3 linked regions of the Oryzias latipes genome follow. The protein of the gene in region 1 interacts with the protein of each later gene in a pairwise test. Links are inferred from orthologs where the notes say so. Each region holds a gene or a part of one and is shown in the gene's direction. Other genes may lie near its edges. The genes, in order: cda, syntenin-1 and plekhb2.

The links.
Region 2: the proteins of cda (region 1) and syntenin-1 interact in binary tests that used the Homo sapiens proteins (3 or more experiments, as listed by UniProt). The two-hybrid records come from large-scale screens. The link is inferred for Oryzias latipes from reciprocal best matches to the Homo sapiens genes CDA and SDCBP.
Region 3: the proteins of cda (region 1) and plekhb2 interact in binary tests that used the Homo sapiens proteins (3 or more experiments, as listed by UniProt). The two-hybrid records come from large-scale screens. The link is inferred for Oryzias latipes from reciprocal best matches to the Homo sapiens genes CDA and PLEKHB2.

What each region holds. Positions count from the first base shown.
Region 1 is NC_019863.2:29,307,504-29,311,828, reverse strand, and holds cda (cytidine deaminase), read left to right. Parts: upstream 1-1,427; 5' UTR 1,428-1,428; coding exon 1,429-1,687; intron 1,688-2,476; coding exon 2,477-2,588; intron 2,589-3,469; coding exon 3,470-3,527; intron 3,528-3,702; coding exon 3,703-3,843; 3' UTR 3,844-4,298; downstream 4,299-4,325. Other genes in the region: trypsin-like, read left to right, coding at 780-932. UniProt on the Homo sapiens protein: This enzyme scavenges exogenous and endogenous cytidine and 2'-deoxycytidine for UMP synthesis.
Region 2 is NC_019865.2:5,706,294-5,709,856, reverse strand, and holds part of syntenin-1, read left to right. Parts: intron 1-648; coding exon 649-824; intron 825-1,979; coding exon 1,980-2,151; intron 2,152-3,451; coding exon 3,452-3,543; intron 3,544-3,563. UniProt on the Homo sapiens protein: Multifunctional adapter protein involved in diverse array of functions including trafficking of transmembrane proteins, neuro and immunomodulation, exosome biogenesis, and tumorigenesis.
Region 3 is NC_019862.2:3,232,298-3,235,573, reverse strand, and holds the end of plekhb2 (pleckstrin homology domain-containing family B member 2), read left to right. Parts: intron 1-1,551; coding exon 1,552-1,666; intron 1,667-1,748; coding exon 1,749-1,873; 3' UTR 1,874-2,727; downstream 2,728-3,276. UniProt on the Homo sapiens protein: Involved in retrograde transport of recycling endosomes.

The sequences.
Region 1 (4,325 bases):
TCACCAAATCATTCACTTTAACACGTATAGATCTATTTATAGAATGCATCACAAAGATCAATTTAAGAACTTCCTGAACTGAAAAACACTTTCAGGAGCAAAAGCACAGGCATTGAAATAAAAGTGGTTTTTGTTCGCTTGACAAATGTACAACACAATGCGACACACACACTTTTAAATACCAAAACAAATGTGTGTATTCCTATCACACGAAAAAATAATACTTTTTAATCAACCAATTTGTTTTATTTTGTCCAATTAGCTAAATTGATTGAAGCTGTGCATGGAAACCAGTGAGTTTGGAAGGAGAAACCTCTGCTGTGTTAACATACTCAAAGGAATCGGACATTCCATTGAGAACCATAACTTATGGCGAGTTTCTATGAACCCCGCCTGTGGAACGGTTTCCCAGAGAGCCTCAGGACCACACAGACTGCTCATGTGTTTAGAGGATGACTCGAGTTTTAATCTGGCTTTTAACGGGAATTTAGCAATACAATTATTTTATGTTTAATTTATTTGGTGAATCCTTTTGTTGTTTTGTTACTTATTTGAATGGATCTTTTTTAAATTCTTTTGCAATTTTATCAACTTTAGAGATTTAGCAAATTTTGCCAATTAAGGTTTATTTATTTATGTTTACACCTGTAAGTATTTTATTCCTTTTCATTTTTTTTTTGTTTTTTCATGTGAAGCTCCTTTGTGCTACATGAGTATGAAACGTGCTTTTATAAACAAAGTTAGATTTGATTTGATCCAATATTATAACATCTCTGCAGGGGGATTCAGGAGGCCCACTTGTCTGCAACGGTAAATTTGAAGGCATTGTCTCTTGGGGCATCGGCTGTGGCTATGCGTCCTACCCTGGTGTTTACACCAAGGTCAGAAACTACCTCATCTGGATTGACCAGGTCATCCAGAGCAGCCCATAACTCCTCAAACCACAAGAAAGTACTGAATAAAATTTCAACTGTCCCAAAAGGTTTTTTTCTTTCACTTTGTATTCCTGAACTTACTAGATAATTTATCTTCAATCTTCAAAACTTGTCTTAAATCTGCAAAAGTATCTTATTTTAGATTCTAAAAATCCTCATATTTCTTTTAAAGGTCCTTTAAAATGATCAATAAACTAGATTATATAGATGTTTGAAACTTTAAAAAGTTTCACCTCCTGATGTTTTTCTGTCTGCTACCTACATTTTTCTTTAATCCTGAAAATAAAGAGACATATTTTGTCAGACTAAACCTTCGGATTTTGCATCTTTTGATCCATCCTGACGCAAAGAAGTCATTCCATTTAGGGTCAAACCTGCTTCAAACTACAGGAAAAAAACGTTCTCATCCTGCAGCACAGCTAACGGCCTGACAAATGATTGGCTGAGATCAGGCGTCGTGCCTCTGCCCAAATCACATTTAAAGCTGAACTGCATGACAATCATTCACCCACTCAGTGCAGAGGTATCACACACAGCCTCAAAGCCAACCTCACAAACATCAAGCATGGAGGAGGTCAAGTCTGGACAGAAGATCACAAAGATCCAGGATGAAGGCTCCAGAGACCTGTCCCCAGAAACAGTTCAAAGACTGATTTTTCAGTCTCAGGAGGCGAAGAAGAAAGCGTACTGTCCTTACAGCCAGTTCAGAGTGGGAGCTGCTCTCCTCACCATCGACAACCGTGTCTTCACAGGTGAGTCGCACCTCATCCTCTCTGATTCAGTCATTTCATGTCCTGTGATGCCAAACAAAACCTAAACCAGATTAAACTGATGATCAAAGAATCATCCGGCTTTCACGGCTGCTTGGTGACCCTCAGCAAAAAGTATATACATGTACTACAAGTTTGCTTAGTCTATACTACGGTGAGGTACTTGAAGCTTACATTTTTATGTACTATTGTACATTTTAAACAATACCAATTTAGTCTGAAGTACACATACATGGTATACTTCATAAAATAAACTTCAAGTGTAGTACTTTTTGCAACATTTTCAGCTCTGTGTAAGAAGAAGCAAATAATAGCGACTCAAATCTTTTTGGGAAAAACTTAGGAGAAGAAAAAAAATAAAACTTCAATCTGACATTGAAGTTGTCACACAATGTTAATGATTAGCTGACAGGGGAAATGACTGGACTCCAGAGTGAAGGTTCACATTTCTAATTGGTCATTACAACACCACATGGCGCAATTTTCAGATTCCAAATTTGAATTTTTTGGATTCAAGTTCTTCATGAAAATCTGTTTCAATTGCAACTTTTGTCCGAGCGAAAGTTTTCTCCTTTTGTGTCAAAATCCCTGCACACATGAAAAGGCTTGACAAAACCTTGAAAGGCTGCTGGAGGTCCAAAGGCTCACTGACTATTTGATTAAGCTATAGAAAAAAAAAATCAATAGGCAGCCTCTTTACAGAGAAAAGGACCCCTTTTTCTTTGGGACATATGCATTTGGTCACTCTGTTTTGTCCCGTGTCTCTGACAGGCTGCAATGTGGAGAATGCATGCTACAACCTGGGAATGTGCGCTGAGCGAAATGCCATGGCAAAGGCGGTGTCAGAAGGACACAGGAACTTCAAGGCGATTGCAGTCGCCAGGTGAAAAAATGAAACCGCCATTTTTGAAAATTCACTCCATCAGACACCAGCATCTTTCGCCCACTTTACAAACTTCTTTGTGTTTCTTTTTGCACTTCAGCACACCTTAACAAATTATCTTAGCGATGTGACCATTTCTGTTGAAGCAAATGCTCGTATAGTAATAAAAAGTCAAAGCATGATTTCTCTACAAAAACATCTCTTTTTACACTTCATATAAAACAAAACTAAGTGTAGGATGGAATAGCTTGTGTTATATCTTGTTGCGTCATTTGATCTTGAAAACATTTTATTTTAAGCAAAAATACTGATTTAAAATATGTTGTTTATGTTTTTGTGATGATGAATGGTCTAGGAATGAAGGGTTTAAAGACACTGGACGGTTTTATTTGACTTATAGCGTGGAACAAATGCATTTAGCAACAACAGGACAAAATTTTTAAATGAAACAATTACAAAATTATAATTTGTCGACACATTTATCTTAAAATGTGTAATTATACTCTTGAAATGATTGCAGTTTAGAAATAAGAATAGCTGTGGTGTTGTAGTGCAGGCAAAAGTGAATAAATGTACCTATGATAACAATTTAAACTATTTTTTGATCAAAAGATGGCTATTTTAAGACATATTACCAACTACCAGAGCAGTATACCTGAATATGAGTGTTTATAGGTGATTTCAAGATTTCACTTACTCTTAAAGGGGTGTAATATATTACTAATTATTTTAAAAAAAAATCTCACAAAGACAAATTCTTTTAGTTCCATTGGCAGATTTCTTCACTTATAACAAGGAAAAACATCTTGAATTCTATATTTTTGACTTGCTTTGAGGACATTTTTTATGAAGTTGCTTCGCTTTCGTGTTTCCTGCTGCAGTGACGTGAGGGATCACTTCGTTTTCCCATGTGGAGGCTGCAGACAGTTCATGAGAGAGGTACTGTTGGGTCATATTGCTTCATTCTGAAGGCTCTGTACCTTCAACACGTCCAAAAGATCCAAACATTCTTTAAAAAAAAAAAATGCAAACATTTGCTTCAGCTTGACAAACACATTGAAGCATCTGAACAAGAAGATATTCCTGAGTCACATTTACTTGTGTTTTTTTCCAGTTTGGGACGGACTGGGATGTTTACCTCTCCCACCCTGACGGATCTCACAGAAAGATGACTGTGGAGGAGCTGCTGCCCTTTTCTTTTGGCCCTGAAGACTTGTCCAAGAAGAAAATACCTCACACTCCCAATGAGTACTAAATGGTTTCCAAAAAACCTGCGTTCAAAAAGTCAATATTTACCAACAGTTTTAAACGTTGCAGCAAATTTTCATTCATGTTTAAATTAATAACAGAAATTTGTGTCTTTCCACGACCGTTCCGTGTATGTCTACCAGACTTTTCACGCATGTACAACATTTATATGGCGTGTACGGCATTTATCACGTTAAAATTATGTAATTGACGCACAAATTACTAATGAATTTCATGTAAACAGAACAATAATTACGCACAGTTCATGTTTTACGTTGATTTATCTGTTCTCTGCGTGGTTCATTTCCTGCAAACTGTCTTTCCTGTTTAAATTATTTCCAGAATATATTTAATGAAAATGTTATTAAAGCTTCCACTTTAAATGCATGAGAATATGCTACAATAAACCATAAAGGAAGATTAGGTTTGAATCTTTTAATAAATAAACAGTTTTAAAAAGCATTTCTTGACTTGTACATTTAGTTGCAC
Region 2 (3,563 bases), on another chromosome or scaffold:
AAAAAGCTTTCATCTCAAATGTACAGTGTTCCTTCGTTATATCTCAGTTCACTTTTTATGGTTTCAAAGTTTTGCAGACAATATATAAGCACTTTGAGTTATGCTTTTATATGGAATGTGCTTTATAAAGTTTGATTTGATTTGACATGTCGGTGCAATATTGCATGCTTTTAAAAAAAACAATTCTGAACACTGTGTTCTGCATCCCGATTGGCTGTTGACCGTCCTAATCAATCTCCTCTGTGCCGTGTGTTCTTTACGGATTGTGTGCCGTTTGCTAAATCTAAATCGATCTTTGTTTCCCATCTTTATTTCTGGACTTTTTTACCATGAAAGTTTGAACTATCAGGGTTTATACAATAGAGAAAAGTGTTAAAATGTTCATGTCTGTCTGAGAAAAGCGTATAAAATGTGTAGTCAGGGGTTTACAGCCTTAAAACATCTGTAGTCCTGCTTCACAGATTTCCCTCATTTCAGGTTATTTTTAGATGCAACGTCCTCGATAAACAAGGGAACTCTGTATTCACAGTTTTGCTAAAAGAAGAGTCCGATTAGTCATTTTCTTTACTTATCTCATGACTTTTATGTCTGATTACTCGGATTCATTTCCTTGAGAAAGCCTGAACGTTTCTCCTGCCTCTCCCTCAGGGGGTGTTCATCCAGCTGGTGCAGGCCAACTCCCCCGCCGCCCTGGCCGGGCTGCGCTTCGGCGATCAGGTCCTGCAGATCAATGGGCAGAACTGCGCCGGGTGGAGCGTGGACAAAGCCCACAAGGCTCTGAAGGCCGCGGCCGAGACCCGCATTGAGATGGTGGTCAGGGACAGGTGTGTGGTAAATGTGCTGAAGGTTATAAACGGGAAAGACCTTCGACATCTTCGTCCTGAGATTGGCTGAGAATTTGCTGACTGCTCAGCTGAAGGATTGTTTAGAGGGATGATTGACAGCAGCCAGCAAGGATTGTGTTTGGCTCCTTTGGTCAGAGTTATGGAAACATGTTCTGCCATCTCCTTAGAAAGCAATCTCCAAAATGACAGAAAAGTCTCCTGAAAGACATTTAGTTGATAACAAATATATATGTTTTTTCAAATTAGGTGCTGAGGAAAATGTGTACCAAATGATGTGTTGCTTAGCAACCTCAGTTTTTATTTTCCATGCCCACTACAGTAGCTTTTTTAATATTGCTGCGTTCAGTCAGCAGAAGAGTTTTCTTAAAAACTAAAAATGCAGCATGAAAAGGAAGGGAAGTGCATCACAGTCGTCTTGAGAGCTTCAATAAAACGCCATCAGCTCAATTCTGCTTATCTTCTCAAGGCCAAAAGAGACTTTTGGGTCCATTTGGGCACAAAAAATACATAACTTGGCCAGAACAACCTTTTTACAGAACAATGAATTGATGTTATTACTTTACAAGTAACACGCTTGTTTGTTGGCAAGAGTTTGAATGTTTTTTTGAATGTTATCAAGTGTTTCGGGCATCATCTAGAGTTGAAAAATTTATTTGTTTGAACTTTTCTTTAGACATTTAGACAATGATTCCTGCAATGGGGTTTGATCATCACCTCTGATACTCCGATCCTTTGAAAAGTAACAAACTAAGCATGTAAAGATGCTGCAGAGGGCTTTTTATCTGAAGCAAAGTCACTTTCAAGCTTCGCTTAATGTCCAAATATCAATCACATAAGCAAACGATGTAGTAATTGCTATGAACCTCCAACTCTAAGCTATATTTGAATCCTAATGTGCATGAAACGACATTTACCTCGATGATGCAGGGTAAGACTGTTTAAACATGGTTGCTGCTTTCATAATTTTGATTTTGGTGCACAGACACAACTCTGAACACTGCTTCACTTTTTAACAACTTCTCAGCAAAAAAGTTTCAGCCATTTTTGATTAGACATCTTAATAATGTCACTAAAGATTCATTTAATCCCTCAAATTCTCCTGCTGATTCACAGTTCTCTGTTTTTTTCCTCCAGGCCTTTTCAGCGAACTGTCACCATGCACAAGGACAGCTCTGGACATGTGGGCTTCATCTACAAGTCTGGAAAGATCACCTCACTGGTCAAAGACGGTTCTGCTGCCCGGAACGGCCTGCTGACCGAGCATTACATCTGTGAAATCAATGGACAGAACATCATCGGCCTCAAGGTGAGACACAAGTCCTGTTTGTGTTTTCAATAGCGGAAAATATTAGCAAAAACCCTATTTGTCATTTTGATGTGTGGTGGCTGACTTTATTTCCAAAGCCTGCACGAGGAAGACGACTCCAGAAAATAGTAAAAAAGGGCAGTTTTAAGGAAGCACAGTTCATGGTTCAGTGAGTAAAAGCAGCTAAAGTCTGTAGTATGTGGTGTGTTAGTTACTGCAGCTCCAAACGCGTAGGACCATCGCTCCTGATCCCTGTGAGGTTTGTGGGGTTTGTGAGGTTTGTGTTTCAGCGTCAGTTGAATCTGTTTTAATATGTCCCCACAAATTCAAGTCAATTCTTTTATGAAATACACAAATCAATTTTTACAGCCACATCTAAATCACAAAGTAAAAAACATGACATAATCAAAAGTGCAAAGAGTATCTGATATTAGAATGGGTGAAAGATGTCATAGACTCAGAATGCATAGATAATGGTTTGATATTCAATCCTTTCCTCATGAATCTGAATAAAATCATGAGGTGCCTAAAGATTCACACCCCCAGGCGGGAGTACTACCCACTCAAAAAAATAAATGTGATCTTCTGTTTTCTTTTTTAACTTGTCCTGTCCAACAAACAGCAAACAGATGAGAGCTGAATGCCTCTTGTGTTGGACATATTTTATTTTACAACAGGGGTTATGAATCTTCAGAAAAAACTGCCAAGTAGCCCCCCCCCCCCCCCCCCCCCCGGTGCATCGCAGGCTGAATTTATATTCTGTACTATTAGTGAAACCCTTTGATACAAGTGTGTTGTAATATGAAGGTATATAAATAAAACTGAATTGAACTGAATATGTGTGCACGCATATGTGTTCAGTTCTGTTTTTGGCGCCATGATAGACTGGTTTACCCTCACTTTCCCCAAAAATTTTAGAGCCTAACCAACCCAAGACCATTTCCAGGAAACACTTTACCTGATTTACTTTACGTAGATTTACTCGCCATTTTTCATTTAACCACACACCATTGACTGAGTGCCGCCCCCCCCCCCCCCCCGGCGTTATAAACAAGTACCCGCTGGCACCAAGAAGCAAAAATCCCATAGACTTGTATTGAGAAATAAACATGTTACTTAGTCATTTTATTTGGTCAGAAAAATCCTTCTTAAACTGATACTTAAACTGGGAGGACTGGGAAGTTTTTATGGGTGAAAGGATTTGAAAATGGGGGAAGGATGCTATGGAGATTACTGTACTTTGCTCTTTTACTGTTAAAAGGATGGTGATTAAATCGATTTCATGTATTGATCATTTTAGGATTCTCAGATCAAAGACATCCTGAACTCCTCCCCCACCGCCATGACCATCACCATAATGCCCAAGTTCATCTATGAACACATGATTAAGAGGTGAGTTTTTCTTTTATCTT
Region 3 (3,276 bases), on another chromosome or scaffold:
CAAAGAATTGGTAAATGGCGAATATTTATATAGCGCTTTTCTACGTACAAGGCCCAAAGCGATTTACAGTCCCACACTCATTCACACACTGGTGGCGGCGCCGCTGCCAAACGCTGGCGCCAACCTACCCAGAGGCAAGGTGGGGTTCAGTGTCCTGCCCTAGGACACTTCCACACATGGTGTGCAAGGCGGGAATCAAACGTGCAATATTATGATCATGGGTCCACCGCCCTACCGCTGCACCGCGGCCGCCCACAATTGATGCTCAGTTGTTTCCATATCCTCATTACAAAAAGTCCAACAATTTTCAGGAATCCCAAACCGTTCTCTGAGCAATTCCTTGGAAGAGTAAATACCTGAAAAGGTTGTAAGTGGACTTCTTTGGCTTTAGGAGGAATGGGAAGTTTTAGGAAACCATGTAAATGGATAAAACAGACAAAACATTTGAAGGCAGGGGTGCGTTTTATTACAAAAACAGAAAGCAGTGACTGTCGTATGTCATGCTCTGCTGTAAACCATGGTCTGGGGGGAGCGGGGCATTTCTAAAGCCAGCTGGCTCCGTGACAAGCACGTGCCACGGAATACACTGCTGTGTTGGTGAGCTCGGATCCATTGGGCGGGAACTACGGAAGCAGGAAGAGACATGCGGGGCGGTCGGGGCTTCTATAAACACTCCAGTGGGCCGGAGTGGTCTTCTGCCGGGGACTTGACGTGCTCCGGGGCGCAAAGCGACTTTCTAATGACAGAATTTGTGCTCAGTGAATTTAATCACACATGTGCAGTGTGTTATGTTTCAGAGGATGTTTGATTGGCCGTTCTGCATGTCAATCAAGTCCTGTACTTCTCGGTGAGGATTTTGATGATTGACGGATTTTTTAGAAGTACTTTTTTTATTTTTTTGGTTATTTATCTTTGCTGACCTGCGATCTACCCTCATGTCCTTGAAGATCGACCCGGCGTAATGAGCACCCCTGCTTTAACCCTTGTGCTATCTTAGATGACTACACCCTTCCATTGACGTGTTCTCCCTACCATGACAAAGGTGGATAAAGGTGGAAAGATTTCATGTAATCCATGGACACCAGTGAAGATCACAAATCAAAAAAGGTTCAGAGCACTGTCTAGTGGGTCTAGATGACCCAACTCCCAATGTTAAAGTGCCTAGGATAGCACAAGGGTTAAGGACTAGGTACGGAAAAGAGACCATTTAAAGCTGGGATTGACTGCCACCTGCTGGTGAACTACTGCAGCGTTCAACGGCTCCTCGATGCATCATTTGTTCAGTCTTTCATTATTTTCACTTGAGTACAGACACTATTGTCTGTAAATCCTTTTTGGACAAACAACAATGGTGCGCATGAGTTCCAAGGTATTTAGAGAGAAACACAGAACACCTTAATGCCCTACATGAGTGTGGACCAGAAAAGGTAACAAAAACAAAAAACCACCTATGTGTAGATTAGAGGCAAACGGTTAAACGTCTTGATTGAATGCAGATGATCATCATTTTACTGATGCTGCTTCATGAATCTCTGCTCACTTCTTGTCCAGGTTTACGCTCCAGGCCCGTATGGAGATTATACGGCTCTTCCTCATAACGCCACACAGGTTGTGTACTCTGCTGAAGGGGCACCATACAGCCTTGCTTATCCATATCAGTACCAAGGTGAGTTTTTACACGGCATGCGTGCTACAGCTCCAGATGAGAGAGGGTGGCAGTAAGCCCGGTCCTTTGTGGTGTTTCCCAGGCGCTGCAGTGAACCATGTGGTCATTCGGGAGCGGCAGCGTGAGGACGCCGGAGACGTGGCTCTGGGCATGCTCGCCGGAGCAGCCACTGGCCTGGCTCTGGGATCCCTCTTCTCCGTCTTTTAAAGTTATTGCACATGCGTCCGCTCACTTTCATGAAGTCTGTGGGGGTACGTCTGAGAAGAGTGACAGGTGGAGGCATACGTCCTGAATACTAGAAGCACTTTGGCTGTGTGGCAACCTATTTGACGTGTCTTAACATGAACAGTCTTAACAAAAACATGACTGACTTCTAAAAGACAGGAAACACTCCTTATGTATGCACACTTTAGGTCCTCTCAAGCACATTTCTGTCACTGTCCTGGACAGTGGGCACAGTGGGTGTGTAGTCTGGATGGTTTTGTTTACTCCCATGCAGGTTTGTTGTGAATCTTCTCCTTGCTAACTGTTCATGGTGAATGCAGCCTTTAAAACCAACACGTACAACTTCACACAAATGCTACCTTTCACTATGGAGCCATCTGATAATGGTAAGGGTAAAAAGATTACCCTTACCATTAGATTTTCTGAGCGTGTGCATCCTTTGGTGCTTTCCTCTCATTAGCAGCTGTTGATTTGTTTTTGTTTAAAATAATGGTTTCTGCCGTTTAGATCCGTATGTTAGCGTGAACATCTTCTCAACCATGTTTCCTCATAAAGGCCTTCCATTTTTCACGTCAATTGAATTGTATTCATTTATTCTATTAGAAATGCAGTTTAGGCCCCAGGAACAGTGTTTCATATAGGGGTGCTTAAGGTTCATGATTGTGCATTAGCAATGCTAAAAGCTAATATTTGAGGTAAAAAAACATAGAGCTTTTCCTATGGCCTTTTGTTTTCAAAAGTGGATTAAAGTTAAACGGCGTTCTGCCTGGAGAACTCCTCCTGAGTCTGAAACGAGTTCATGAAATGTGTGATTAATAAAAATAGTAACAAACTTGTTTTTGTCTCATTTATCATCCCTGAAAGTTGTTCACGATGAGATTCACGAGCGTAGATGAAGAAGCTCTAATGTCAGAGCAGGTCTGTCCATTCAGCGGAAGCAATGAAGCATCCTTATTCCATGGTCTGGGTGAATACTGGATTCTGATTGGCTGCTGGGTGTGCATTAAAAAGTGATAATGCACACCTGCAAAAGAAGTCCCGCTCACATAGTTTAAATGTTCTGCGCTGGCTTCTGTAAAACAACCTTTTGCTTCATCGTCTGGACAACAACAAGAGATAAGAGGTGAACTTTCTCTCTGGACTGCTGCTTTAACGATCAGCATAGATATCAGTTTCCTTTGCCGCTATAGTCCAGGTCAGTGCCGGCTCAGCCGTTACCACAACAACACACAGCACCACCCATCAGTCCATTTATTTTGTGAGAAGCGATTTAAACCGAAAAAATAACATTAATACAGTAGTAAAAATTTATTGAATATTCATTTCTTAAGTGGCCGTGGTATCAGCGGGATGATGGCCTTCAACGTGACAATTATCAGAAATGA